Linked DNA regions of Cricetulus griseus. The protein of the gene in region 2 purifies or fractionates together with the protein of the main gene of each other region. This does not show direct contact. Links are inferred from orthologs where the notes say so. Each region holds a gene or a part of one and is shown on either strand. Other genes may lie near its edges. The genes, in order: Timm50, Raf1, Bag2, Pin1, Tcp1, Calu and Dicer1.

Region 1 (4,405 bases), on a different chromosome or scaffold from region 2:
CGACCAGTGACACAGTCAGTGCTTGTACTCACTGTTTACACATCTCACCCAGGGGGCTCTGTGGACCCAATAACTTCACTTTCTGTCAGGAAGGGTCAGCTAAAATTCACAGCTACTCTACTACCTAGTTTATCAGAAGTCCTCACCAAACTCTGCTGAACCTGGGGTATGTTTGGAGAAGGGGCAGGGCACAGACACTGAGAGGCATTGTTTTAGAAATGAGGCATGGGGTGGGATAGGGACTTAAGGATTTTTAAACAAACAAAAAAGAGGCTGTCATAAACACTCAGGGGCCACAGATGCCCAGATCTAAGGCCCGGGAAGCCGGTATCTGGGAGGGACTGCTGCGGCCCCCTGCCCCCATCTGTTCCTGACCATCTGCTCCAGGCTGAGGGGCTTTTGTTATGTCCCGCCCCCCCAAGCATCTAATTGTTGAACCTCCATGGAGGAGGAGGGGCTGGGGTACAGGACAGAGGAACTGGCACTCCAAACAAAACAAAATAGCAGAGATGGGGACACCAGGGACTCCCAAATCTGTTAAATCACTCACCATTGTCGAATTCATCAGGGATCTGAGAGAGAAAAGCAAAGGTTTGGGTTGGCAGAGGGGTCCCAGGACATCCACTCAAGGAGCTCCAGGCTCAGTAGGCAAAGGTCCCGGGGAGGGAGGGAGGGAGGGAGGGAGGGGCGGAGGGGCTCATTTCAGACTAGAAAGGAGCCTGAACCAACCAAAAGCAACCCACCCTAGCACCTCTGGGTCTAACGCCCCTCACCTTGGTGCCATTTTCATCCACCGAGTTGTTTCCTGCAAGGGAGACAGAGACGGATGAGAGAAACTTGGAGTCTAATCTGCTGGGTCTGGAAGGGTTAGGAAGTGAGGGGTTTGGACAACCCCGTCAGAGGGGATGTTGCTAGAGGCACAGCTCCTGGATTAAGGGAGGAAGAGAATGGGGGGAGAAGGGGCAGGATTCCAATATATTTAAGAGAAGGTGGGCTAGCCAGGCATGGTGATGAATGCCTTTAATCCTAGCACTCAGGAGGCAGAGCAGGTAGATCTCTGTGACCTGGTCTACAAACTGAGTTCCCAGGACAGCCAGGGCTGTTACACAGAGAAATTTACACAGAGAAATCCTGTCTGAAAAAAGAGAGAGAGAGAGAGAGAGAGAGAGAGAGAGAGAGAGAGGAAAGAGAGGGGGAGAGAGAGAGAGAGAGAGAGAGAGAGAGAGAGAGAGAGAGAGAGAAAGTGGTCCGAGTCTGAGATTACACACAAGGGGAAGGTTAGGCTTTTGCTGCTGAAGGGAGACACAAGACATAGCTTCAGACACTGGGCCAGCCCTATTCTTCCCATTGTCCCCTTAGTTCCTGACTTCAGGAGGGACAGGGACCAACTAGAGGCTAGAACTTTAATTAAGTACAAGGGGTAGAAGGGGACTTGTTGAGTTTCAAGGTGAGTATCCCCGTTGAAGGCCCTATTGAGGGAGGAGCCAGGGAATGAACAGTTTGAGGAAAGAAGGGGAGGTTTCCCAGTAGAAATCTGGGGGCCAGCAAGCCAGGGGTATGTCTCTCACCAAAGATATAGACGATGCTGACAGTCCCACTGGCCCCAAGCAAACCAGCAAGCCAGAGTGCAACTTTTTTGGCATAGCTGGGACCTTCTGAGCCTGGCTGATGCTGCGGCCCCTGGGCCTTGGAGCCTCCACGACTGGCGATCTCAGCAACCTGAGCGGAGGGGAGGAGGCGAGGTCAGCTAAGAGGAAAACAGCAGGAGGCTCTCTCTGACCTCTAACTCGGTCCAAGTAGAGTCAAGATCGAGGGACGTGGACATACACAGAGCCCCAGAAAAACGTGTCCCTGGAAGGGCTGAGTGGAAAAGTTGGTCCCCGCAGAGGGGCAAAACTATAAAACTGTGTCCGGAGGATCACAGGGGTTCGAGGGCTGACAGGCGGGGCTGCCCGGGATCCTGAAAGCAACAGGACTGCAGCAGGGTCTGGAGCCAGGGCGAGCAGGGCAGGGAGAGTCAGGGCTGGCGGGGAGAGCAAAACCAGGGAGCCGGAGGGCACCCAAGGGACGGGAGGAGCGGTTAAGACACCCGGACATCCCGGGCCGCAGAGGGAGGGGTGGGAAACCCAAGAGATCGGGGCGAGGCGAGGCGATCTCTCTCGCCTGGAGCTCAGGACGGCTGTCTCCGGCCAGCCTTCCCGGCTCGCCGCCCCCGAGGCGGACGCCGCCCGTCCCGCCCTCCCCCGGCCGGCCTGGGACCCCGGCGTCCCGGGCGGGCCGCTCCCGCGCCGGCATCAGGCGAGGGTGACCTCCCGGCAGCCACGAGGCTGGGACGCGGGCTCCGGAGGATGCACCGGGGGGCCCGCCGCGCCCCAGCCCGGCGGGCGGGCGGGCGAGCGGGCGGCAGGCGTGGTGCTCCCGGGAGGCTCGGGGGCGCCGGGAAAGCGGGCTCGGGGACGGTGAGCGCCCGGGACGCGGAGTTCCGGACGGCCCGAGCCTGACGGGGGGGGGGGGGAAGCCCCGGGTCGGGCGGGGTCCCCGGGGCCGACTCACCTGCTCTGGGGCGCGGGGAGGAGGCGGCGGCGCTAGCCGCGTGCACAGTCCCCGCGCGCCGACCCGGAGCCCGCTCCGCAAGCGCGAGAGCAGCGCCGCCGACGCCGCCGACGCCGCCATCTTGCGCTGACGCCGCGCGGCCCCGCCCACTCGCCGGCTCGCTCCCGCCCCCCGGGCGGGGACCGCGGCCAATGGGGAGGCTGAGGTGCGGCGTGTGGACGGGAAGGCGAGCGGGACAAAAAGGTGTGGGCGGAGTCCCCCTCCCCGGCTGCGCTCTCCGCGGACCGCTAGTCCGGGGCTGTCAGTGCCCTCGCCCCCGCGCCCGCGGAGCACGCTGAACTGGAATGGGGCCATCTGTCACCACGCCCCCCTGGTGCCTGCCCTAAGGACCTCCGCCGCCGCCCAGTCGCTGGGACATAGGCGTGAGAGATGGACAGATGCTCAAAAAGCGAGCTCAACCGGCAGCCCTCGCTTTTTTTTTTTTTTTTTTTCTTTTTTCCCCCCACGCTGAAGCGGTCTTCTCTCGCGTCTCCAGATCACTTTTTAACCCCTTCTACCATGTGTTTCTCGAAAGGGCTGGAGATCGTATCACTCACTTGGCTTCCTTCACTCACCCATAGGAACAGTGCGTGCTGACTGAAGACTGAATAAGAAATCAGTGAATCTGGGGTACAGGAAGACACCAGGAATGTCCCCCAAGTTGTTTTTAATGGTGGAAAAGCCAGGTTTTTACATTGAAACTTTTTTTTTTAAGATTTATTTATTTATTTATCATGTATACAGTGCGTGCCAGAAGAGGGCACCAGATCTCATAACGGATGGTTGTGAGCCACCATGTGGTTGCTGGGAATTGAACTCAGGACCTCTGGAAGAGCAGGCAGTGCCCTTAACCGCTGAGCCATCTCTCCAGCCCCTACATTTAATCTTTTTTAAAAAAAAGTACTAAGATAGTAAAAAAATACAAAGTTGGGTAAAGGAATTCAGAGAAATGGTTATTTCTGGGGTGGAAAGAAATGGATTGGGGCCGGGCACTGGTGGCGCACGCCTTTAATCCCAGCACTCGGGAGGCAGAGGCAGGCGGATCTCTGTGAGTTCGAGGCCAGCCTGGTCTCCAGAGCCAGTGCCAAGATAGGCTCCAAAGCTACAGAGAGAAACCCTGTCTCAAAAACAAAACAAAAAAAGAAGAAAGAGATTGGGGTTCTGTTAAGTTACATGTGTGTTTGAGTGTGTGCGCCCTTGTGCCACAGGGTGTGGAGGACGGCTCTCTCCTTCCACCCTGGGGGTCCGGAAATCAAACCTGGCTCATTTGAACCAAGGCTGTCTCCCTTATGGTTGACTTGGAGGACATGTTTCCAAAGTCAGTGGTTAGGACACTTCCTTGACACGGTGAGTTCCTGTTGGCCTTACATACTGTAAGTGGGTACAGGGGACATAGGACTTCATGTTATGTCTGAATTTTTAAAATTAGTTTTATTTCGAGACAGGGTCTATGTAGACCAGGCTGGCTAGAACTCATAGAGATCCACCTGCCCCTAACTCCCCTAGTGCTGGGATTAAAGGAGTCCAAGTGCCTTCACCCACAGACCAATCTCACCAGCTTTTGGTTTTTTGTTTTTTTTTTGAGACAGGGTCTCATGTAGCTGAGGCTGACCTATGCACCCGAGGAAGACTGATCCTCCTGCCCTGTCCCAAGTGCTGTGATTTGAGTCATATGCCTACCCTTTGTGAAGACTTGGGCCTATCAAATATGGAAAAGACCAAGGTACAAAGCCTAATTCTGTTAGGGCGCTCATTCCTGCGCCTGAGTTATCAGACTTGCTGAAACAATCCTGGGTTCACTGCTGTCAGCGTT
Region 2 (3,734 bases):
AGGCCCAAACATGTTGCTCTCCAGGATGAGGGGATGGAAACAGCACAAGCTCTACTTTCTGCTTTCTCAGAACAACATGCAGCATTGACCACTTGCAACCCAGTTAAGGAAAGAAAAAGCCCTTGGATTTCCATGTCCCATTTCTTTTCCTTGACAAACCAGTGTCAGCAACTATTTGATAGACAATGGGTCCTACCCGTTTCTGGTATCAACTTAGCTAGACTAACTGGCCAGCAAGCCCAGGGACAGCCCTGTCCCCATTGTCACGAATGAGATTACAGGCATGTGGCACAGGCCCAGCTTTTATGTCAGTGATCAAACACAACCCTCATGCTTAAAGTAAGCACTTCAGTGAGTCATCTCCCAGTTCCCTGCCTGTTTATTTTAGTTAGGCCGCCATACTAAAATTAGCTAATTTTAGAACTATTGTGCTTCTAAAGTAGTTAGTTTCTGATTCACAGTAATTATTTAACAAAGCTAAAACTCAAGACTTAACAATTAAAAATGTATAATGAACATCATCTAAAGTGTTTCTGCCCCTGATCCTGAATTTTTACAGGAATAAAACCAAATGCCTTACAAGAGCTGTCTGATATTACTCCAGTCCACACACATAGTAGGTACTTTGGTGCTACAGTGCTCATGAAACTTGTAGCCACAAGTCTGACACCGAAATCCATTTAGCAGGAACTTTTGACAGATGTCACAGAATGCAAGCTTCAGGAACGTTTTCCGAGCCTGTAACAAGAAAGCAGGTATAAAATTACAATAATGCAAGAGAAGAACCAACAAGGTGCTTTCTCCACTGGCCCCATAAGAGTTTCCCACAGTGAAGAATCATACTTCCAACACTGTCAAATTCAGAAACGGAAGGCCTCTAGAGGGACCTCTGTTAATGGACTCTAAACTGACCACTGTCCATGACTGCATAGGGAGAACTGAAAGCAGCTAACAATACACAAGTCTAGTACTTCTCAGAAAGGTCAACCATGCACAGAAAAGAGCCCAAAATGGCAGAGAAAGCCAGGCACTGAAACTTACAAAGTTGTGAGTTGTGAGTGGAACATGATCCAAGAAATCCACTTGCAGTTCTTCTCCAATCAGAGAGGCAGCGTCGGTGTTCCAGTCTAAGCGTGCTTTCTTACTAAAAATTACCCAAAACATAATATGAGGGAACAATGTCGGAAGCTCAGCACATAGAGCTTCTACTGCAGGCTGTCTGAGCACACCTAACAGATGCTCCAGTCCCACCCTAGAAATAAGCCAACTGGGGCCCTGAAGAGTCATTGCCCACAGAGTAACAAGGTCTGTTGGAATCCAAGTCTGTTGGACTCCAAAGTTTATACTCCTAGAACAAAGTTTCCTTTGAACAATGAAATAAAACAATCTCATGACAAGGGTAACTATGTCTTTAAGGGGACTGTGTAACATTAAAATCCTACCAAAATCCCAAGATCCCATAAAGTAAGGTGCAGTCACTACAAGGCTCGTTTAGTGCTCAACAGCTACTTCAATCTAAATGTCCATAAACATGACTCAAACAGGGATGTCCTTTCCATTAGTTACTGACTCAAAGTTGTTTGTAGAAGTTATAAAACGTCTATGGGAGACAAAAATGGTCTTTAAAATTGACTGACAGCAGTGCTTTTGTGCCCAGAACAAGCAAGACAGGACATCACATTGATTTATGGAAAAGCTGTTAAGTTCAGTTAATCTGTCCCATTTGTGGAGAATGAACATTCCCAGTTAAGAAGGAATGTAACACACACAACATCAGTCAAAACCCTCTATCCCCTGCCAGAGGCCAACAAACCACTCTTCTGGTTACCCAGCAGGCAATAATCCATTCCTTAAGACAATTCCCTCTGCAAGAAAGGGAGAATGGTATCTGTCTAGAGTACTGCTTTGTCTTAATGAGGACTAGGAAGGAAGCCCCGCTGTTTGAACACAAGTAGGAGCTGTCTGTTCTGAAGGAAACTGAGATCAGTTCCTAATCACACAACTTTGGAGAAGAGTGGACCAAGCCTGTCTCAGAATCTCCCAAGTCATAAAGGAAGTCTATGGATCAGCTTGGGCACCAACATGGGGATAAAGCCAGATAAAGGGGATGGCGTGTTAGCAGAGGAAGAGACAGGTTCTCTCCAGCCAGGGAACTCAGAGCCACAAAGAGAACATGCAGCAGGTTAGTGGCAGGTGCACTGCTCCCCAGAGAGGGCAAAGTCAAAGGTTTCCCCAGGTTTGTCTGACAGAGCATGAATGACAAGACCTTCTCTTTAGGGCTGCAATGAGTGGGAACTTGAAAATGTTATCCTTCAAGTTCCATCTACCTTGTTTTTTTTTAGACAACTTCTCTTACTGGAGCTCACTGATTAGGTTAAACTGGTCAGAACGCTTCAATGACCTGCCTGCCTCTGCCTCCAGGTGCACCACCATAGCCAGAGTTTTATGTCAGTTCTGGCAATTAGAAGGCAAGGCAAGCACTATACTGAATAGGGTATTTCTTCGGGCCAAAGACAGTGTTCTTTAAAAAGAAAAATTTATTATTATTAATTTATGTAAATTTATTATTTATGTATTTTTATGTTATTTGTGTATCTCTGAGTGCATATATGTGCAACGCATATGTGAGGGTGCCCTTGGAGACCAGAAGAGGGCATCAGATCCTCTGGAGCTGGTCTACAATCTGTTGTGAACCACCGGAGTGCTGGGAATTGAACCTGAGTTCTCTGCAAAAGCAGCAAGCACTCTTAATGAGCTTAACTATAAAAAGCAATGCAGACATTTTCAGAGTACCCACTCTTATGACAAACACCAGGAACATTCTTTGCACTCAAAAACATGCCTTTTAACAATTCCACTTCCATCCCTGAACACACTATGAGCATCTCCTATGCAGTGTAGTTTTCAAAACAATGTCCAGGCAATAATTTCAAATTCTCAGTAAGCAAATTTTTCTGAATTGATCCTTTAAAAACAAAAGTATACACATATACTAATCCCTAGGAATCAAAAAGAAAGCATTGTTCACAAGTTATTTGAGGCTAGGAAATCCTTACTATTCGAAAAGGTACACTCTTACCCTTTGTGTTCCTGGAGAAGTCTGAACACTGCACAACACTCTGGCTGCAGACCCCTCACCTTGAGAGCTTTCATAAGGCAGTCGTGCAAGCTCATTCCATTCCGCACATTGACCTGCAAAAAGATAAGCTTTAGTACCAACGCAAGCTACAGCGTCCCTTGCAAAGATGTGCACTGAATTAAACACATCCATCTGTAAACTAGTATAGATTTATGACATACTGTTTGCAATGGTATCTAGCAGTAAATGCAAGCAAATGAACACAGATCGTCACATCAGCATGGGGCACATTGTGCATCTCCTGTATTGCCTGGGACAGTAGTCTATGACATGGTAACTAGAGGAAAATACTTTTATTAGAACAATACAAGAGTAAGACTATTTAAAAGTGGTGAAACCAATACATTTTTCTTATATTGTATGATTTGGAACCATGTATGTGTTGCTATTAACAACAGAGTTGGTAATCGGGGACCAGTGAGATGACCCAGCAGGGAAAGATACTTGTTGCCAAGCCTGACAACATAAGCTCCATTCCTGGGACCAATATTGTGGAATACAGACTTCCAGAAGTTATCCATTCTCTGGCCTCTAACAACTGCATACACACACACACATACACACACACACACACCCCACACGCATGCACGCACAC
Region 3 (4,259 bases), on a different chromosome or scaffold from region 2:
TCTCACAGCTGAAAGAGATAATAACAGCTTCCTCCTCCTCAAGGGTTATAGAAGTTTCAAATTACAAGGTATATGAAAAGTGTTCTTTTAAATTACAGACTATTACTCCAATTAAATATGGTGTCGACTTGCTTTGTGAGTCCTGGGACACTGGGACATCCTGACAGGAACCTTAAGCAGTAAGAAACCAAAGCAGCGGACAGTGCATTTCCTTGGCCCTGGCGACAACATCATTTCCTGCCTGGGTGGACTGGAAAGAACTACTCCCTATGGGACCATTTGGGAAGTGTACGGACAGCCGACCTCCCAGTCCTACCTATCATTCATTCCTCCTCTGCCAATCCCCGAGACCCAGCTGCTTTATCACCCACAGCTTCTAGAAGCTACTCAATACTTGGCACGTACTGGGTGCTCAATATTTACTCAATTAAATGCTAAATTGATTTTTCTTTTAGTAAAAGCACGTTCTTATGCCAACTGGACAGTTTGAAAAATGATATATTCAACACTAAGACACATGGTGTTTGATCTGAGCAGCCCCTCTTCCTGTGTTCAAACGTGGAGTCCACAGCTCTTGGCTGCAACTTGAGGCATGTCGTTTATATCTGAGCTTCAATTTCTCATCTGTAGAATACAGATAATGGTAACTCCCACAGAGGCATGAGGCCTAGCATGCAGATAGATGCTAACATGTATTATTTATAAACTAGGATAAACATTAAAAAGTAATAAGTAAGCCATCTAGCCACGAAGGGCGCAGAATCCCATAGAACTGGTCGCAAAAATCAAGAAAGGACAGGGTTACCTCTTTAGAGGAGCTGTAGTAGAAAATATTTTTTTTAATGTCAGATAGTGTAGTTAATATTATAAACTAATAGAAACGAACGACAATCCACTAACAGCTTGTAAAACAGGGCTGAACATTTTAAAGCATTTTAGGCAATCCCAGAGGTCAGTTCAGCCTCCAGGATATAAAGCCTTTGATGTGGTTTCAGTTTCAGAAGAAAAAGTGACTTCCACTGTCAATAGAATCCACACAACTGACTGGAAAATGCATACTATCTACAAACCAGGGTTTTACAGCACCAAATCCACAGCCTTGCTAATATTTGTATACAAGGAAGCTAGTATCGGGAAATCACACAAGCTTCATCTTTCCTCTATCATCCATATTTAAAAATTTTGTTTTGTTTTATTTTGTTTTTTTTTAAGACAGGGTTTCTCAGTAACTATGAAGCCAGTCCTGGAACTCACTGTGTAGACCAGGCTGGCCTCAAATTCACAGATATCCACCTGCTTCTACCTCCCGAGTGCTGGGATTAGAGGTGTGTGCCACCACTGCCCAGCTAAAAGTCTAAATTTTTAATAGTGCAGTGCCCTGTGTCAAAGTGGCTTCTAAAAAGGAGCCCCATGCCTTGAGCCATTAAACACACATTAAACTCTCCCTCTCAGCAAATAGTTAAAGTATCAATTAATCACATATGTGCAACAGTCAGAATTCCTTTTACATTAACCAAACATTAGACTGCAACACCAAACCCAAGGCTTTCAGGAACCCCCTCCACCCCCCTACCCAGCACTAGGGAGGCATTAATTCAGGTTTCAGGACAGTGACTCAGCTAAAGAAGAGTAACAACTTCCTAAACCCTTTCAAGGAGAAAAAAATCTGAGCAGTTGAGAATATACTGTCCAAGTTCAGTGCCTACTTTGTAGAGGGAAGCATTCCCTCTCCTCAGAAGGGCTTGAAAGCTGAGGTCCCTTTGTCTCACTCCGGGCTGGGGACTGTATGGTTAAGGCTTCTCTTGTGGCTACTCAGGAAATTGTGAAAAAAATTTCTCACCGTCTGGATCTCTGCTCCTAATAGTAATAATAACAAATGCCTCATTTGTAACAATGCTGCTTGTGGTAGTTTTCTGTGCAAACATCCTCCCGTTTGTTTGTTTGGTGGACGAATGGAAGGAGATTAGGCACACAAGACTCTTATGATTTTGCTCATATTCTTTTGCTTATGCAGAACCTGGAGAAAACTAGGGAACAAAATGTTCGCAGTTCCAGAAGACCCAGGGTGCCTTGATAAGATTTTCATGGAACAACACCTGCACACAATCAAGACTTGCACAACTTCGGAGACATTAACCAGATAGGTAAGATCTCAAATTGCTGTAGGCAACAAAGTATTTACAGCATTTGCTAGTATTTACTATTTAGAAATTTTACTACAACACCGATCCTGCGATAGAATCTCAGGCAGAGTGTGACTCGTACCTTTTCAGGCCTGTGGCTGGCACTTCCTAGGTGTCATCAGTATCTTCTAAATGCACAACAGATACAGACCGAATGCGGAGGGCATTGCACGTGGTTAAGAAAATGAAAGAACGCATCCAACTTTGCCACCCACAACGGCCACTCGTGGGTCTAATTCTCGCTGGTCGCGGGAGGTGCAGTCTGGAATTTTCCTTACTCTTGTGTTACTATGAAGTGGTTTGGGGCAAAGAAACTTACTACAATGGGAAGGTGGGAGGGAGAGACCCCACTAAGCTGCTGCCTCCCTCCAAAGAGCATTACTGGAAACGTGGAAGTTAGAGGCAGCGGGGACCACACACAAGGTTCTGGAAGTTGGGCAGGCCGCGCGCGCTCGCCCGGGGAGTGGAGCCCACCCGAGGCGCCCCCGCCTGCACGCTCACCCGCCCGCCCGCCCTCACCTGAGCTCCAGCTGGTCCAGGCTCTCCAGCAGGCGACTGGAGCGGTCTGCCATGGACGAGGAGCGACAGAAGCGACCCTCGTGGGCCTTGGCGCTGATCTTCGCCTGGGCCATGAGCTCCGGGGGTCCGGGGCGTCCGCGGGCAGCAGTGGCGCGGGCCGCACGTCGCCGTCACCGCGGGCGCCGCTGACGCGGACGGCACCGCCCCCGAGGCCGCGCGGCCAAACAAGGGCAGGCGCGGGCGCAGCCGCCAGCACTCGGGTGGGGGACCCTGTCCCGGTGCCCGTCGCCAGCCTCCCACCGGGCTGCCGGCTCGCCGATGGCTTCTGATGTTTGTCCCAACACCCACAATTCACAGCAGGGACAAAATCGTGCGGCCCGTGACGTGGGAGAAAAGATCCCCTGGTGTAGCGTTAAGACAATTGAGTGCGCCTTAGGGGCAGTCTCTACTTGCCCGACCTGCCGGGTTACCAGGCAGGCTCCTAAGAGGACAGGGAGAGCCTGGGCAACACTGTGCTCCAAATAAGGAAAAGCCAAGTGCATTTATACTGTCTCGCCTTTCTAATGAAAGGTTATTACTTTCACACCCAACTTATTGAAATCCTCCGTGAATAATATTCAATAGGCTCCTGCAGAGGTCACTAAGAGGTGGAGTAGGGTTGAAATACAAAGCCATGTCTGGTTAGAGTTGTGTTTTGTCCTCTCGGTGCACAGAAAATGAGAAACTTGGATTTACAACCTTGAATCAGAACTCAAAGCCATTTGATGACTTAACAGAGTCAAGTCCCTTAAGCACAGCTGGCTTCCAGGTCCTCCACCACCATCACCACCCGCCCCATCCCCAACTCATTTTACATAATAAGGAACAGTAGGTTATCTGGCTTCATTAAACATTGTCATTTCATGACACAAATGTGAAATTTGAACGTTTTGTGAATGTCTTGAAAAATCGAAGCTTGCGCTCATCTCAGGTCTAATGCCAGCTCATCTGGATGTTGATAAAGGATTGTGTCTCTCGGGCCAGAGTGAGTTCAAAGGCCAGGCGGGGTTGCTTTGCCAAGAGCTAAAAATCTCAAAAAGTATAAGGGGCTGTAGACGTAGCTCGGTGGTATAGCATCTGCCTTTGTCCTAGGTTAGCAACTAAACAAGGCAGATGTCATGGATTCAGTGTCTTATGCTCTCTGGCATCTGGTCCTCAGTTGGCTGTTTGGGAACGATTATGTGTGGTCTTGCTGGAGGAAGTATGTCACTCTGGGCATGTTGCAGAAGACTAGCCATTCCCAGTGTGTCTCTGCCTCCTCCTTGGGTTCCAGATGAGTGCTCAGAACCTGTCCTTGATGCCATCGTGACTCTGACCCTCTGTAGCTGAGCCCAATTAAATGATGTTTTGCTTTGTTTTTTGAGACAGGGTTTTTCTGTAGCTTTGGAACCTGTCCTGGAACTCCCTCTGTAGACCAGGCTGGTCTGGAACTCACAGAGATCTGCCTGCCTCTGCCTCCTGAGTACTGGGATCAAAGGCAAGTGCCACCACCGCGGGGCTTAAATGATTTATAAGTTG
Region 4 (3,734 bases), on a different chromosome or scaffold from region 2:
AGACCTACCCACTGGAAGCATGGGGGGGTGGGGGTCCTGTGTATCCTTGAATAATCTACAAGGGGCTAGGCATAACTGCAGCTGCCCTGGGAGTCTAGCTAGTGGGAAGATTTCTTGCCAGCACCCCAGGCCCTGAAAAGGCAGCTTCTTAGGGCTTGAGAACAGTTTGGACACCTGGGTTTGGGGTGTGATGGGTGACAGTTCCTCCCCTGAGACAGGAACCCCACACCCCATCAGGAAGGTAATGAGATACAGTACCACCAGCCAGTGGTTCCAGATTTAATGGAAGGCGCATGGGGCGCTGCACCACACCCTGAGGCTGAGTTGCTGCATCGCCAGGTGTGGAGTGTCTGCTTTTTGCAACTGAACAGAGGAATGGAGCATAAAACTAACAAGAAACAAGGCCCTCCTGCCTGCCTCTGGGACCTAGGGGGAGGGGTCAGGTCACCTCTGACCCACTAAGCCTGAGGGCCTCCACACCCCCACTGCCCTTCTGAAGTTAATTCCTTCAGAAGGAGCCTGGCTAGGGCAGCCCCAACTGGGGGCAAACAGGGAAAAGGAAGCTCAGAGTCCTTATCTCAGAGCCCCCTCCCAGCCATTTTAGGAATAATAAATACTGTGTGACAGTAGCAGGAAGGGGCGTCCATGGACTGCTTGGCAGCCTGAGTAGGCCGGCCAGTTGCCTGTCCTCATTCTGTGCGCAGGATGATATGGATGCCCGAATCTGTGAACACTGGCCCACTCATCTCCCCTGTCCGTAGAGCAAACGATGCATCCTCAAACGGTTTCTGCATCTGACCTGTGTGAAACAGCAGAGGTGGTGGGGGTCAGGCGCGAGTTGCACAGAGATGGGGCTCCTGCCTGCACCTAGTCTCAAGCATATTCATCACAGGGTTTATGGCCCTGTCACCCTGCACTGCTGAGCTGTAGCCCAGCTGAGGGCCACAGGCCCATTAGGAGGCTCTGGGAAGCCCAAGGACAGCATGAGGAATGGCAGGCAGTGCTGTGCTGTGCATTTAGACACACTGCATGATGAACTCTCTTGGTTCCCAGCTGAACACCATCTGTCCTGCAGGTAGCTTGGGCTGCCAGCAGAGGGCCTCGCTAGGCTCCCTCTCCCAGGCAGGTGCCAACACTTAGAACTCCCAGCCCACAACAAGGAGATGAAGGAGAGAAGGGAGGAGGAAGGGATCCTGATTTCCTCTGCCCTTGGAAGACATTCTGAGCTCTGTCTGGGTCACCAACTGGACCTGACCTTGCCTTGCCTGCCCATTTTCCCCACCTGCCAAAGGGAAGAACATGATTCTCAGGGGTCTTGTCCTATAGCTAGATGCCAATGACAGAACAGAGTCACCTTGATGGGCCGGTGAGGGGGACAATGATCCTGAAGGGAAGATACCAGGGAGGTTTTACATCCCTTTAGCAGCACAAAAAACACAGGCCAGGAAGCCTGAGGGCTGTGCTGCCACCTGGTGGATTAGGAAGGCACAGAGTAGGGTTTCTCCCCCTTCGTGGGCCCAACCACCCCCAACACTATAGGGAAGGGGCTGAGTGTAGCGGTACCCACTCTTGCCTACCTCTGCTGAAGGCACCCAGGTCTCCCCTGGCTTTGGCAGAGCTGCAATCGCTGAACTGTGAGGCCAGAGATTCAAAGTCTTCTTCTCCTGACTTAATCTTCTGGATGTAGCCTGCAGGGACACAAGGGGAGAGCCCTAAGTCAGAGAGACACAGGGGCCAGCCAGGATGCAGGGAGAACAAGGCACTCCCAGGAGCTGGGCCAGGCCTGGCCTGTGCACCATGCTCCCTATAAAGACATGCTGCTGCCTTTCTGTTGTAAGACTTCCCACCCCCTCATGCCTAAGCAATCACACCTGTGTCCTTATCATGTGCGCACATGAAGACAGTCCTCCCACATGCATGACCCCAGGGTGCAAACCTGTCTGCCATCCCCATGCACCTATGGCCCTACTATGTATGACCTTAGTAACCAAGCTAGTCACCCACAGATGCCCAAGAATATAAGGACCCCTCCAGACACACAGTGACCTCTTTTCAGCCCTGGACACAAACAGTTGGAACCTCACAGCAGATGACTGCCCACCCCTAGTCCTGGGGCAGTCTCAAGGCTCTGGAGACCACAGGTGGCTAGCATACAGCCAAGCTCTGCATAGGAGCTGGTGACATCCTCAGCTGTGGGCCTCAGGAGTCCCCACCTGTGCAACATGGAGGCACAGAAGAGCTCTCACTAGGACATTTTGATGAGAACCTGAGGTGAGGCTGTAAGGGATGTGTGTGAGCGCCTGCACAGTTGTCCCACAGGCAAGCCACACAACAGGTACCACAGGGTATTGGCAGAGCTCAGGAGGTATTAAAGCATCTCTACTGGGCTGTGACTCCCTGCAGGGTTAGGAGGTCAGGGCTGCTGGGAGGAAAGTGAATGATGAATGAAGCAAAGTCTCAAAATAACAAAGTCATGTGTCACAAAATCTGACTGAGTTCTATCCCCAGAACCCACAACAGTAGAAGGAGAGAACCAACTCCTGTAAGTTGTCCTCTAACCTTCAAACACACATGCCAATCACCAAACCCTACCCAAACAAAATGACACAAACAAACAACAGAATGTAAAGGACCTAGGCTCAGGGGAGTGAAACACAGCACCAGGTCTGTATGACTAATGTCTCAGGAGCAGGGTGCACAGACATGCAGATGCATGGGAAACTGCTATGCTCACACAGACACCTGCTAGATTGGGAGTTGCCAGGCACCTGAGTCCAGGCAGTGCCTGAGATGAGCATGCCTGCAGTAGCATGCCTGCGTGCATACAAATAAATGAGAGTAAAAGAAAAAAGAATTGAATTGGTTAATGGGAGCTCTCACTTCAGAGGGTTATTTGTGGCATGAATGAGTGACTGCCATAGTCAAGGCTAATGCACAAGTCATTGCTCTGCTAAAGGCTGCATGATAAAGTCCCAATGTTCGCTGTAAAGAAGCCCTGGTTCCTGGTAAGACTGTCCTTGGAGATAAGGAGTCTACAAGGATGGGCCCTGAAATGATAAGTACCTGTTCATAAAAAAGTTTTAGCTCAGCTGGCAGAGTGCTCGCCTTTCTGCACCAGGCCCTAGGATCAATTTCCAAACTAGGGATGGTAGTGCAAACCTAGAATCCCAGCACTTAGGAGCTAGGTGGACAGGTTAGAAGTTCAAGGTCACCTTTGGCTACACAGGGAGTTTAAGGTCAGCCTGGGCAGCATAAGTTCTATTATTAAAGGAGGCAGATGGGGCGAGCAAAGATAGCCAAGGGGCAGGGCACCAAAGGACACAACAGAAGACAAGAAAAGCAATCTCAGCAGGAACCTGATGGGGAAAGTGAGAAAGGCACAGGTCTGTGGTGGCTGGTGAGAGGGAATCTAGAGGAAAAGCATGGGGCATAGACTTTTCCAGAACTGGGACTCAAAGAAACTTCTGTCACCTAAGCTACCGAGCTTGTGGCACTGTGTTACAGCGACTAAGGGACAGAATGAACCAAAAGGATGTTTCCTCATCCTAAAAGTGTTTAGACAATCCCCTTGCCCATCTCCCAGTTCACAGGTGGCCATAAGGGAAGAGACTGGTTATGGAAGAGGTAGTAACATCATTGGATATGCTATCCTAGAAGACCCAAGACCCAGCAGGAGGGGCCCAGAAACCCAGCCACAGGCCATCAGGCTGGCTGGGCACCACTCCACCAGAGGA
Region 5 (4,252 bases), on a different chromosome or scaffold from region 2:
ATTTCATATAGGGGGGAAGACACTGAAAAGCCCTCCCCCTTCAGATCATGGCACCTTTCATCTATCCCATAAGCATAGCCACTATAATCTACTGGGAGAAAACGTGGTAGTCAACTGGGAAAACAGAGGTACACTGGGCTGAATATTTCAATACTACCACCCAAATGCTAAGACAGAACATTGCCAACTAATGATTAATCACAACATTAAGACAGACTACAACCATTACAGGAAATAACATTTTCTTTCAATATAATCTTACTTGCAGGCAAGCCGATAGCCACTAATAACTGATGTTGGATGAATTTTCTGTTTGACTAGTTCATCTGCATTTTTCAGAAGCTCCGCTGCAATAATTACCTGTTGATTAAACACTGCTTTAAGTTTTCATGTCATTCAATATGCACAATGCATACAGGAAAACATCAAAATTATCTAATATTGTTATTTTTATCTTATTTACTTATTTGTTCAAGACAGGGTTTCCTTGTGTAGCCCTGGCTATCCTGAAACTCAGAGATCCACCTTCCACTGTCTCCCAACTGCTGGAATTAAAGGCATGCACCACAATGTCCAGCTATGACCTAGCATTACTAACCAGCCACAGCAGACAAGTAGCAGCTTGCTGAAAACATAAAATGGAGAACACCACAAAGTAGTCTGTGCAAATGGTCCAAGCTACAAACACCAGAAATTTCTACTCTGAATTCCCAAATTTCCTGTCTATGGTTAAAATCCAAAACTATCCATTAGTTTTGAACAACAAAGAAGCCGAAACCTGGTAACATTTTCTTTAAATGAGAAACTCTTTTCTACATGTAAACATTATCATGGCAAGGGGGTTGAAAATAAGCATCCAAATTCCCAGTATTTAAAATAAGCTTATATTCAACTACCTTATATGATTTTTCTCCTACTCAAACTGCACAAAGTAGGTGCAATGATTAGTTTTCAAATGTTTATGAGACCATAAACACCTGACATATCTAGAGTAAAGGATTCTTTCATGGGTTCAACTCTAATAAACGGGCTTATTCTCTAGCCACTCCCAGGTAGTGCCTCACCACAGAGGTAGTTCCATCTCCCACTTCTTTGTCTTGCAAGTCAGCCAGCTCACAAAGAACTTTAGCTGCAGGGTGTTCTACCTCCAGTAACTTCAGGATGGTGGCCCCATCGTTGGTAATGGTTACATCCTGAGAAATATGAAGGAAGTGGGTCAACACAGAAACCAAGCTCCACGAGGCAAGGCCACCAAGAACAGTGAGATATACTTACACCAATGTCATCCACCAACATTTTATCCAAGCCAACTGGCCCCAGAGAACTTTTCACAATGTTGGCAATGGAAGCTGCAGCCATAACTGAAGATAGAACAATGGGCGAAAAATTAGAACAATTCACAAGCTAAGAGACACCAAGCCAACTATGATTTTCTTAAACCTACCAATCTGCAATAATTACGATTTTTGGGGAATTAAAAAAATAAAAACACACCTATTTAAGGACTAGTGACTCCAAAGCAATACCGAGAAACCCTGTCTTGAAAAACCAAAAAAAGGACTAGTGAAGGTTAACTATTTTTTTTTTCTTTTCAGAACAGGGTTTCTCTGTTTAACAGCCATGACTATCCTGGAACTAGGTCTGTAGCCCAGGTTGGCCTCGAACTCAGAGACCCACCTGCCTCTGCCTCCCAAGTGAGTGCTGGGATTAAAGGTGTGTGCCACCATGGCCGGGCTAGGTTAACTTTTTTGAGTACTGGAATGTCACAAAGAGGTCAATGCCTCAAAAAATAAGTAATCCCTTATGTGCATTGGTGTAAAGGTGTCAGATCTCCTGGAAATACAGTTAACAGACAGTTGTGAGGGGCTCTGTGGGTGCTGGGAATTGAACTCGGGTCTTCTGGAAGAGCAGCCAGTGTTTTTACTGGTGAGCTATCTCTCCAGCCAGCAAGAAAAATTTCAGGGTTAACATCTCAGCCTTTTCTTCAGACTCTAGCATGTTTTAATAAGAATAGTAGTCCATCTCGGTAGTAACTGTATTTCGGGGGGAGGGGGCACCTTAACAACAACAAAAAAGCACAATCACGATCGGAAAACGTTAAGTGCTTTAAAAAAAAAAAAACAGGTTCAACTACCAGCAAACACGTGTTATTTCGCCTATCGTTCAATTTGCAAACCGTTAAGTATTCCTGGGAGCAGCTATCAACTGAAAGACAACCGGCCGGAGGGAAGCCACGCAAAGACGACCACCTACATTCTGTGGGCATGTTCTCCTGGGCAAATGGAACGGGTGGAAACTACTCCTCTCTGGTCGTGTCCGGGATGTTCCAACCCGGTTAGAACCAGGACAAAGGGACCGTTGAGGCGTGGCGGGCGATCAGGTCTGGAGCTAGCCTTCCGGGGTAGCGCAGTCCCCACTCGGGGCGTGGACGCCCACACCCACCCTGGGCACCTCCCAAAACGGGCTTTCGCGTGCCGTGCTCCAACGTTCTTCCCAGGGCCGAAGGGCGCCATGGCGCCGGCTGGGCCCGCGGGTGAGGTCCGCACTGGGCCCGGGCCTCCACGGGGACTTCGCTGTGCCGAGGGGGAAGCCCCGGCCTAGCGACCGCAGTCGGGCCTCGGCCTGGGCCGCGGGCCTGGCGCAGGATTCTCGCGCCCTTACCATTCTGGGAGCGGATCGCCTCTCCAGTGCTGCGGTCCCCGAACACGGACAAAGGGCCCTCCATCGTTAGGGAACCTGGCTGGCCTCGCTAACACCGCGGACGGCCGGGATATCCGCTCAGAGGCCGGACTGCGGCCACCACAGCGGGGAACGCGGACGGCGTGGAGAGAGAGGCCCGAGCGACGCCGCACGGGATGCTGGGTACCAAGCCCCGCCCGCTTTCCAAGCTCCGCTAACCGCTAGGCCCGCTGGGAAAAAGAGGATGGGCGAGACTGAAGACGCCGGAACTGGAGGGGGGGTGGGTCTACAATTTATTTATCCAATTAGAGGCTGGACGAGAAAGGCGCGGAAGTGAGGAACCGAAGTTGGGCCGCGGGAGGAGTGGGGCGGCGCTCGTGCGTTCTCGCGCCTTCTAGAGAAGCTGATAGGGTTGTGGTGGGAGGCGGGCTACGGACCCTAGCTCCCAGGTACGGCTGGGAGCTCGCGCGCCTTTCATCTCTGAGCTCCGGTCATAGTTAGGAGTCAGGGAGCATTCGGAGAGTCAGCTGAGACTCCGTCCAGGCTCAGCGAGGTTTGGGGTCTGCAGCTGGGCGACCACTGCCTGGGGTCACGCATGCCGCAGGGACGGACTTCCGAGAAAAGAGCTACGCGAGCGTGCCCCGCCCCCCGCCTCGACGTCAGCGGTGGTTGGCGAAGCGGAGATACCGATCGCTTATTCGGCCACTCAGTACAAGGGAGCTTGTTGTTCCGGGTCCCGGAGTGACCGACGACCTGCTGGCATCTGTAGCTTTTCCCCCAGTTAACATGGCTGCCGCTAGTCGTTCTCCCTGACGACCGTGAGCAAAGCAAGGCCGGGTACTGGGAGGCTTTGCCTACGTCCCATCGGCGATGGCGCTTCAGCCGCGGGTCTGGAAATGGCTGTCAGTTTGCGGGAAGCTGGGTAATTAATCTCGCCCCGCGTCGTTGCCTGCTCGCTGTGCACAGTATATGGGAATTTGCAAATCCAATTTTGCACCCGAGGTTCCGCTTGCGGAAGCGAACGCACTAGCCGCTCCCGGGGTGACCGTGGGACGTTATGGGTCGGTGGTGATAACCTTGGTCAGACGGCCATTTCTACCCGCTTCTGGGCCTTGTGATGGGAATGGTTAGAGCACGCCCCTCTGGCGCCCGTATTAGTCGTTTTAAACATCCACGTGGTCGTTTTCATTTCCTAGAGTGTGGGTTCGCAGCCCGCTCGACCAGTTCCTCGCCAGCGATTCAGCCCGAAGTGGAGACTAAGGAAAACGAAGCTGTGGCCCCAGTGTTCACCAACCGGAACCCTCGGAATCTGGAGCTCTTAGGGGTAGCCAGGAAAGAACGGGGCTGGGCTACAGTGTGGCCCAACCGTGAGTTCTGGCACAGGTAATTAATTTGTGACTGACCCTGCCAGATAAGCCCAAGGTTAAATTGGGAAGAAAACTTTAAAGTTAATTTGAGAATAAGAGATTATGTATTGTTCCCTCTCTGAAGAGGTGACATGTCAAAAAGCCGACATCTAAACCGGTGGTGGTGGTTTACACCTTTAATCCCAGCACTCCCGAGACAGTCAGGC
Region 6 (4,444 bases), on a different chromosome or scaffold from region 2:
ATACTTTAGCTTAATCTTACCTAAATAATTTTAAATTCTGAGATGAAAAAAAAAGGAATCAAACAAGATCTTATATGAAAAGATCTAGCTACTATGGTTGGTAACTCCAACTCCAGTTGGAAGAAGTTTGCACTTCTTGTTTGTATTAATCCACAACAAGCACAAGCCATACTGCTATTCTTCAGTTTCCTGGATGGCTCTATTTTTTATTTCTTTTTAACATTTATTCATGTGTGTGTGTGTGCATGTGATCATATAAGGGCTGAGGTCAGAAAACTCTGGGAAATTGGTTCTCGCCTTGCACCATGTATGTATATACTGGATATGAAACTCAGGCTGTCAAGCTCGGCAGCAAACATTTTCAGTGGCTGAGCCACCTCAATTCCATCCTTTTTTTTTGGGGGGGGGGAGCTAAGAGGATCTCACTGTGTCTCACACTGGCCCCAAATTTGCTATGCTGCCCAAATATCCGATAGGTTGAGACAATCCTGCCACGTGGGCTTTCCAAATGCTAGGGTTCCAGGCATTTGCCACCACACCCACCAGATTCTGCAACTTTAAAACAATTTCTGCATTTAGAAGTGCTATAAATTAATACATGTACCCTGTTTCAGAAAATATTTTATTGAAAATTCTAACTTTTTAGCACTAGCCTCACCCATCCTTTCTGGCAGCTTAGATGTCTATATTAAATTCAGCCCTTCAGAAACATTAATTCTGAGAGATTCCACAATTATTCTGGATTGTGGAACTTTAAAACAATTTTCTTCTTTAAAAAAATTATCTCTACAGCTCCTTACAAAGTGTTGTATTTTTAGAAACCAATATATTTTATTGAATGAATTGGATGACATTTAGCAACATGGTTTTGCTGTGCTTTCCAACTCCCAATTCCTATTAATGGATCTGGCCAAATGCCATGTATAGGCAAATATGTGATTTCAGGGGCTGGCAAGATGGTTCAGCCAGTAAATGCACTTGCCACCAAGCCCAACAACTTGAATTGGACCCCAGAACCCACGGTGGAAGGTGAGAATGGATTCCCACACATCATCTCTCAAGACTCCCACAAGCATGCCCATGGCATGTGTATGCCCATTGCCATAAATAAATGTAATTTAAACAATTTGTGTTATTTCAACTGTTTAATCCCAATACATGTTACAGCATAATGGCATTCACATCTAGGAGTTCACAGAAAAGCTGGGGGTGGTGGTGCACTCTTTTCATCTCAGCATTCAGGAGGCAGAGATGGGCAGATCTCTATGAGTTCTAGAACAACCTGGTCTACACAGTGAGGTCCTGGCCAGTCACAGCTATGTAGTGAGACCTTTTCTCTCACACACAAACAACAAACCCATAAACAAACAAAAATTCATAGAGAGAGAATCCAGTATCTTAATCATGCATTTCCCATGACTATTCCTGGCTATCCCTGAAACAGCCAGCACATCAATGTTACAAGAAATTTGGGCTAATACTAACACACTAGTTTCCTGCACTGAGGCAATGACATAAAACTCTATCAATGGTACATGTAACATATCACTGGATGAATGGCACCAAACAGAGACAGAGAATGACACTGAGATGAATACCATTAACTCACACATAATTCAGCTTTTTCATGAGATCATAACTCCTACTTTTGATTCTACAGAATATCCTGTTACAGACCCTTGAAACACTGCAAAACTCAGATTAGGACCACACAGACTGCCTTTCATGCAAATAGTTACAGGTTATCTCTGGTCCCTCCTTTGGACTTCGGTAAGTTCTTCAGTGGTGACTACCGCTTGACACTTAAATCTAACTGAATGAGGTTAGATTTAATTTGTCTTGGGTCGGCTTCCGGGTATAGCAAAGAATTTATCAGCCATTCATGCTTAATTAAATAAACCTGAGTGTCATTATTCCCAATTTATTAATGCTGACTTGATAGTCCATTATAGGAAGTGAATACAATTCTCAAAAAATCCTGTTCCAGGGCTTTCTACACTTAGGAATTTGGATCGAAGACACAAAAGGTGTAGCAGCAACCCAAGGAATTGTCCCACTCATGCAAAAGAAACTTTACAAGATACAAATCAGTGTTAATTACAGCAACTATAGGGAATTATGTTCACTTCGGAATACTGCATGCCCAAAATCAGAACTAGCACTTGGGAAAAGACAAGCAAAAAACATGATTATTTAAAGGTAATTAACTCTAATTAACGTGCGAAAACTGCTTTCCATTAATGACTATATTCAGCCAAAAAACAGAAAAGTGCGACGTCCCTTTCCAATTAACAAGAGACTTTTTTCCCCCCAAATAATGACATCGTTATCATTCGTTTTGTTCCCCACCTTCCTACACCCTGTAAGACAGCAAGCGCTTTCTTTCTTGGCACTTGCAACCCACTCATGGGATGTGGCCTTGGGGCGGGGTGGCGGCTCCCAGCAGGCCTGGGAAAGGTGGCGGGGAGCTGATGGAAATTCTACCCAATTCTCTCCGACCTTCAGGAAACAAACAAAAGTGACCCTCTAGCCCCAGGGACAGTGAGTGGAGGCAGCCGGGGCGGAGAACAAGGACGCACGAAGCCAGACACAAAACGGTGGCCAGGAGGGCGCGGGGCCCTGGAGCCCAAGTCTGCGGGACGGAGACCGAGAGCAGTCTCGGGCCCACCCGCGCACACCGAGGCCGGAATGAGGAAGACCCGCCCCGCATGAGGGACAAGGCCGACGGGCAGAATAAGGGTGCGCGGGGACCCGCCGAGCACCACGGGGCTCACCTTTCTCCGGAGCTCCACGCCGCAGGACACCGTGGCCGCAGCTCGCTCAGAGGAGCAGCTCCCGCGTACAAGCGCCTCCCAGCCGGAAGTGGCTCCTTGCCCCGCCCCCATCCGTCTCGTCGGCGGCTTCTCCGCCAATCGCCAGCAAGACCGCTGCTGATGCGTCTCTCTTCCGCGTGCCCATTGGTCCCGCCGTCGCGCGGCCGTGATTGGCTTGAAAGCGCCACGTCCCCGCGAGCGCGCCGAGTTGCGTGGACCGGATTCCCGCCCAGTCCGGGTCGCCCATCCTGTGGGGACGCCGAGCCCCAGTTCTCTGCTCTTGGGCGTGTGGGCGCGGCCCGCTGACCACGGCCCCCGGACCGCCACGTCCGCATTCACGACGCTCGACTCGGCCTCCCAGGGCCTCCAGGATTGTTGTGGTAGCTTTCTTCCTGAGCTCCAGCCCCCGGGGCCGGATTGATACCCGAGTAACGTCACCACCCGCGGGGACCCAGCCCAGCTTCTGACTCTTGAGGGTCCCGGTTGATGTACTAGCAGATCTCCGCCCTGCCAACGTGTACCTTTCGGCTTCGTTCTCCACCCACCACGCTCCTTCGCACCTCTGCCCAGTCCATCGTGATCCGCGCCTTCCCTGAGAGCCTTACATTTCATATCCTTGTGGTCTTTGCTCACAAAGCGGCTTCATCTGCATGAAAGAAGTATGTTTTCTGGATTTTCCAGCTACTGAAAGCCGCTACTCATGAAACAGGTTGCTGTCCTGAAATGTCTTAGTGGAAGCTGGGCAGGTAGTGAAACTACCAGGGCCTACTCAGGTGCTAGCTCTAGGCATCTTTCCTGGTCCATTTCCTAGCAGTTTGCATTTTCAGTGCACAGCCAGATTTTGCTAAAACAAAACAAAACAAAACGGTGATTATCATTGTGTATGCGATTAGACCAAGTGTCTGGAATAGGATCCGCTGAACTTATATATCAGGAGCTCCCAGCTTACAGACCAGTCCCCAATGCATTCAGTAATACTAAATGAACTGAATAGAAAAAAATCCATTGCGTCGCAGGCCCCTGATTGAAGAGAAGAGCAGGAAATTAGCAATCTGGGGTTTTTTTTGGGGGGGGGTCGGGGGGGGGGAAAGGAGTGGACAGGGAGAGTTTGAACCTAGACTTTGCCCAGGACTCTAGTCTACCACTAATCTATAGCATAACCTACTCAGTGTCGTGAAATTAAAGCATGTTCATTGAGGGCTACTATATTTTCATCACATATAGAATGAGTAGCGCATGAAGCTCATGAAAAACTTAAGAAAGCAAATTAGTTTAAGATGGGAAAAGGCTAACAACTCCTGTTTGGGACCCTTAAACCATCAACTCAGAACACAACTGTCACCTCAAAGAGAGTTTATTCTGGAGCCAAATGTGAGTGGCCACGACCAGGAGACCAGATTAGGTTACCCCAAATTCCAAATACCAGTATAGCAACAGTTTGATGAAGTTTTTATACTTACAGAACAAAGAAACTATTCACCAGAGAATGGGTTACAGCAAAGTGGGGAAACCTTCCTTATAGCCCTCAGATATTACCTGATGACACACTTAGTTCTTGAATTGTGAAAGCCAGTGCTCTGCTAAAACAGTACATTCTAAAGAAACTAGTGCTCTGTTTCCACAGTCCACAG
Region 7 (4,225 bases), on a different chromosome or scaffold from region 2:
GTCTAGAATTGCAAGATGACACTCATCAAACACCAAAAGGTTAATGTCTGACAGTGATAAGTAACCATTTTTCAAAACATTCAAGGCGACATAGCAAGTCATAATGAGAACCTAAAATAAAACTGATATCAGTACACAAATGCCATTAACCTGCCTGGCTATATCTCTACCAAAGACCAGAGTGTCAGTATATGGAAGTGAAGATTATGAAATTCACGGGTCAAAATTAAAGCAAAGAAATTTACATATGTAAAACATAGGAACCAAGATGTAAACAATGACCAGTGATAGTATGGGAAAAGATTATGAGAAAAACGCCTTAGAAAGGGAGACCACGTCCTTATGGTAAGTTACTAAATCTACTTCAGGTTTCCCCAGCCATTGAAATATGAGACCTGTCAACTTAGTCAAAACATAGAAGAATTTACAGAGCTGACAGGGTTTTCTGAAAAATTAAATACTCTTTATACAGCCTATTGTTCTGGAAGGCTTTATTTAAGTAGGTTCATTCTAATATTCGAGAACTACTAGTGGTTAGCAGGCTGTTGGATGTTAGTTACAAAGCAGCCCTCAACCATTGTGTATCTCCCAGTACCACACACAAGAAGCCCTTAGCACATGCTATCTACTGAAAACATGAAGGCAGAGGGAGCCTCCCTCAAAGACCAGGGACCTCAAACAAGGAACTTTCCCAGTTTCAAAATACATTCTCTTCAAGTTCAATAAGTCACAGGTATTTGTGTTTTTCAAGCAAGTAAATAACGGCAGCTGCTCTCTTTTCTACCCTCTGGAGGCAAACACATTAGTAATGTATTGTTCATACTGGTTTCAGATGAACCTTACAGGGAGAGAATGGAAAGGACTGGGAGAATGTCCCTTTCTAGCTTCCTCCATAGCTAAGGCTAACGGGCTTGTAGTGTCTGTACAGTGAAATGTCCCTGCAGGTCTCACCTGGTGCTTAGTAAACTCTTGGCTCCATCTCTCTTTTGTCCAAGATGCATTTACTTCTAGGTTTGAGTACTCCCCAACCTTGAGGTCTGAGTGAGTTCTGACAGCTGAAACTTGTTGAGCAACCTGGTTTGCTGGCCACGAAGAAAACATGCAAATAGGAACAATGTACCCAGTTAGCTTTCTGAACAGTTACAAAAATTATCAGTTATACCTAGCCACCAATTTTTTAAATGGCTAATTTAAAAATCATAGTTCCAAGATCACCCTCTAAAATCATGGATGAGGCCTGCCACTTCCTCTTCCATCACTTCCTCCAGACAACCTCATATCTCCTTCACAGTTGACTTCCTCCATCCTAAAGATCTAAGTCCTTTTCAAACCAGAAGGACACCTACTCGACACCTGTCCCTTCTGCTCTCCTCACTGAAATCAGGTCAATCCACCAAGAAGTCATGTTCAAATCACACAATTATGCTAAGACTGTCTTAAAAAAAACAGAAGGGGAGGTCATTCTGGATTCCCAGGTTATACTTTCATGTCGACAATTCCAAGCATACAGACATTGGTTTAAGACATCAGACACTAAGTCTCCTCAGTAGCTTTAAAGACCCATATAAGTTTCTAAAACTGCTCCAGCTAAAATCGCCCATCAAGTAGGTTCCTATCTCTAGTCAGCCTTCAACCTGCTGTATGGAGTGAACCAAGAATCAAAGTAATTTTAACAATCTAGCCATCTCCCCAGAGCAAACCCCATTAGGAGAAATGCAGAGTCTGAACTATTGAGAAAGATGCTACAGAGAATAAAATAGTGTTTTGGCTAGCAGGGCTTCAGTAAGCTCATTGTTTGCCAAACTCTTTACTTCCAATAATTTAACTTAATACCCACAGAGATAAATACAAAGTCTCATCCAATTTTCTCCTCACATCTGGTAAATGATATTTGATTACCAGAGTTGACGAGGAACACGGTCCTTTTTGCACGTGGGTTGAGGTCGCCCCTGATCTGATGGGCCAGCTCTTTGGTGAGCAGGACCGCGATGAACGTCTTCCCTGAGCCGGTGTTCAAGCAGACAATGGTGTTATGGTCCAGAGCCGCTTCCAGCAGCTCAACCTGAAATATGGGAAAAGACCACACACTTCTTAATGAAGCACCACATATAAGAATTGACTTTTGTTTTAAACATAGAAATTTCCCTGTTTTCTCAAATCTAAATCTGCAGACAACTTTACAAAAAGAAAACCACTGTCTTCACATTTACTCAAGAATAACAGGGGAGTGAAATGGCTGTTATACACAGCTGTGCTGCTGTAAGCATATATTAAAATGGCACTAACAAATTTATTTAAGAATTATTTCTGCACATGTTAGTTACATATAACTGAATCTCCACTAGGTATGTTTCTACCAGCTCAGGGCTGAATACTTTCAAACCAATCTCCATCCCTACCCAGCTCACTAGGACTGATACAGCCAAATGGATATAAAGGAACAGTGAACTTGGGAGGGGATAAGGAACTCACAAACAGAACCAACACAAGTCAATTACCCAGCAGATGTTAGAACAGAAAAGAAAACAAAAAAAAAAATGTTTTAAATAAGAAAATTAATCAGAAGAGGGAGGCTTGAAAGAGTAAATGAGTTTTATAAGTTGTGTCAATTCTATAGTAATTTATTCTATTTTAGTGAAAAATGCTCCAGTATTAGTGGTTTCATTAGTACCTGGTATTTTCTTGGCGTATAAATGTTATCATGAATTGCTTCTTGTTGCCATGGCAGTCCAAAGAAAGGACCCATTGGTGAGGAAGCAGGGGTCATGAGCTGCAGGCCTGCCATGCTGAGGGGCTGCAAAGCAGGGCTTTTCATTCATCCAGTGTTTCTTTCATTGCATTTTGTTCTAGCACAGCTTACTACAAAAGGGAAAAAGAATACCATTACACAACCATGCAGGGTTAAAACAAAAGAAAGCACAGGAACAAGAATGACATCAGACTACTGCTCCAGAGAGCCTTTTCAATTCTTTCTGTGGTTGGTTTGGTCTCTCTTGAGATCTAAGAGGATGGTTTTAAAAGTCAAGCAGTCTATACTCAACCTGGCAATTATACCTAGAAGCTTTTCTAAAGAATGAACCAAACAACTGTACAAATATAAACACATCAGTCTGTATTGTTACATTACTGGAAGACAAGAAGTAGCTTTAAAACTAGTAGAAAACCATAGTAACTGTAGCTATCTAAAGGTATTGTCAAATAATGTAAAGGAATTCTTTAAAATTATTCACATTCTCATGGGTCTATATTTATTGGCAAAGAGCAAAGTCTACTGATGCCTTGTTAAACATATACCTACATGTAAAGTACAAACATACAAAAACATACTCTCTCTAAGTTCTCTAATATGCTGACAAAATAAGGAGCCAGCATACACGCAGGCACTAAAGGTGCAAACACCCGACCTGGTTAAATCACATTAGTAAAAGGGGTGTTTTGCTTAACTGGCAATCTGCAACTACACAGCTAAAACTATCCTTAGACATACATGTTTAAAATTATACATATCCTGATAAACTAAACACATGACATTTTCTAAATGGAAATTCTTCTATGACATCTAAGCACTCTCCCATTTTCATACATTCTTTTCCAGAAGTAAATTTCATTATGTAAGCTGGTAAAATAAAAATTGATCTTTTAAAAGTTTTCTGTGTGCGTACACACATGTATGTTTATGTGTATGCTGGTGTGTGCAAGTGTAGAGGTCACAGGTCAACAATTGGATGTCCGTCTCCAGCACATTCATTTTTTGAAGCAGGGGCAGCCTTGCAGAGCACTGTCTTCTGAGCATAACAGCCACCATTCTCACCAGGACAGCTGTGACTACGTTTAAAACAACCCCAAAGCAGATCCTGCTGAGTGATGGCTTTCCCTCAGAGGAGGAGCAGGCAACGAGAGTCAGTGAATACTTACCTGGAATTCCAGCTGCTCCCCCTACACTTCCTGCCGTGTGTGTGGAATCCTGATCTAATTGCACATGGCCTCATGGCCTCAGGAGGTCTAGAGTGGAAAATTAACAGAAGAGGGGACTCCAATGGAGTCTATGTAGCTATAGGAAGCTGCCATCCATGCTGGGAAGAGAATTCCTAGTGGTGTGGCTGCTTTGCAGTCACTCACTCTCCTATAAGTGACCCTTATGTTCTGTAAGTGAGCCCAATAAACTGACACCTTTCCCCTAAGTTGGACTTTGGTGGAATTGTATTTTGGTTTGTCACTGGAGCCC

What was found.
Region 1: the proteins of Raf1 (region 2) and Timm50 purify together in Homo sapiens (affinity purification with mass spectrometry; 4 studies listed by BioGRID and IntAct, with this or other methods). This does not show direct contact. The link is inferred for Cricetulus griseus from reciprocal best matches to the Homo sapiens genes RAF1 and TIMM50.
Region 3: the proteins of Raf1 (region 2) and Bag2 purify together in Homo sapiens (co-immunoprecipitation; 3 studies listed by BioGRID and IntAct, with this or other methods). This does not show direct contact. The link is inferred for Cricetulus griseus from reciprocal best matches to the Homo sapiens genes RAF1 and BAG2.
Region 4: the proteins of Raf1 (region 2) and Pin1 purify together in Homo sapiens (co-immunoprecipitation; 3 studies listed by BioGRID and IntAct, with this or other methods). This does not show direct contact. The link is inferred for Cricetulus griseus from reciprocal best matches to the Homo sapiens genes RAF1 and PIN1.
Region 5: the proteins of Raf1 (region 2) and Tcp1 purify together in Homo sapiens (affinity purification with mass spectrometry; 3 studies listed by BioGRID and IntAct, with this or other methods). This does not show direct contact. The link is inferred for Cricetulus griseus from reciprocal best matches to the Homo sapiens genes RAF1 and TCP1.
Region 6: the proteins of Raf1 (region 2) and Calu purify together in Homo sapiens (affinity purification with mass spectrometry; 3 studies listed by BioGRID and IntAct, with this or other methods). This does not show direct contact. The link is inferred for Cricetulus griseus from reciprocal best matches to the Homo sapiens genes RAF1 and CALU.
Region 7: the proteins of Raf1 (region 2) and Dicer1 purify together in Homo sapiens (affinity purification with mass spectrometry; 3 studies listed by BioGRID and IntAct, with this or other methods). This does not show direct contact. The link is inferred for Cricetulus griseus from reciprocal best matches to the Homo sapiens genes RAF1 and DICER1.

What each region holds. Positions count from the first base shown.
Region 1 is NC_048602.1:7,569,959-7,574,363, reverse strand, and holds the start of Timm50 (mitochondrial import inner membrane translocase subunit TIM50), read right to left. Parts: upstream 2,908-4,405; coding exon 2,554-2,907; intron 1,720-2,553; coding exon 1,569-1,719; intron 806-1,568; coding exon 774-805; intron 573-773; coding exon 551-572; intron 1-550. UniProt on the Homo sapiens protein: Essential component of the TIM23 complex, a complex that mediates the translocation of transit peptide-containing proteins across the mitochondrial inner membrane. Has some phosphatase activity in vitro; however such activity may not be relevant in vivo.
Region 2 is NC_048601.1:29,206,738-29,210,471, reverse strand, and holds part of Raf1 (RAF proto-oncogene serine/threonine-protein kinase), read right to left. Parts: intron 3,193-3,734; coding exon 3,080-3,192; intron 1,145-3,079; coding exon 1,042-1,144; intron 739-1,041; coding exon 581-738; intron 1-580. UniProt on the Homo sapiens protein: Serine/threonine-protein kinase that acts as a regulatory link between the membrane-associated Ras GTPases and the MAPK/ERK cascade, and this critical regulatory link functions as a switch determining cell fate decisions including proliferation, differentiation, apoptosis, survival and oncogenic transformation.
Region 3 is NW_023276807.1:14,227,189-14,231,447, reverse strand, and holds the start of Bag2 (BAG family molecular chaperone regulator 2), read right to left. Parts: upstream 2,887-4,259; 5' UTR 2,816-2,886; coding exon 2,703-2,815; intron 1-2,702. UniProt on the Homo sapiens protein: Co-chaperone for HSP70 and HSC70 chaperone proteins. Acts as a nucleotide-exchange factor (NEF) promoting the release of ADP from the HSP70 and HSC70 proteins thereby triggering client/substrate protein release.
Region 4 is NC_048597.1:133,541,987-133,545,720, reverse strand, and holds the end of Pin1 (peptidyl-prolyl cis-trans isomerase NIMA-interacting 1), read right to left. Parts: intron 1,689-3,734; coding exon 1,578-1,688; intron 800-1,577; coding exon 690-799; 3' UTR 264-689; downstream 1-263. UniProt on the Homo sapiens protein: Peptidyl-prolyl cis/trans isomerase (PPIase) that binds to and isomerizes specific phosphorylated Ser/Thr-Pro (pSer/Thr-Pro) motifs.
Region 5 is NC_048595.1:288,143,892-288,148,143, forward strand, and holds the start of Tcp1 (T-complex protein 1 subunit alpha), read right to left. Parts: upstream 2,814-4,252; 5' UTR 2,726-2,813; coding exon 2,662-2,725; intron 1,362-2,661; coding exon 1,276-1,361; intron 1,194-1,275; coding exon 1,065-1,193; intron 361-1,064; coding exon 263-360; intron 123-262; exon of another isoform or gene 1-122. Other genes in the region: Mrpl18 (39S ribosomal protein L18, mitochondrial), read left to right, coding at 3,550-3,601, 3,876-4,062. UniProt on the Homo sapiens protein: Component of the chaperonin-containing T-complex (TRiC), a molecular chaperone complex that assists the folding of actin, tubulin and other proteins upon ATP hydrolysis.
Region 6 is NW_023276806.1:198,472,059-198,476,502, forward strand, and holds the start of Calu (calumenin), read right to left. Parts: upstream 2,909-4,444; 5' UTR 2,775-2,908; intron 1-2,774. UniProt on the Homo sapiens protein: Involved in regulation of vitamin K-dependent carboxylation of multiple N-terminal glutamate residues. Seems to inhibit gamma-carboxylase GGCX. Binds 7 calcium ions with a low affinity.
Region 7 is NC_048598.1:190,294,528-190,298,752, reverse strand, and holds the start of Dicer1 (endoribonuclease Dicer), read right to left. Parts: upstream 2,857-4,225; 5' UTR 2,816-2,856; coding exon 2,672-2,815; intron 2,063-2,671; coding exon 1,900-2,062; intron 1,083-1,899; coding exon 952-1,082; intron 112-951; coding exon 1-111. UniProt on the Homo sapiens protein: Double-stranded RNA (dsRNA) endoribonuclease playing a central role in short dsRNA-mediated post-transcriptional gene silencing.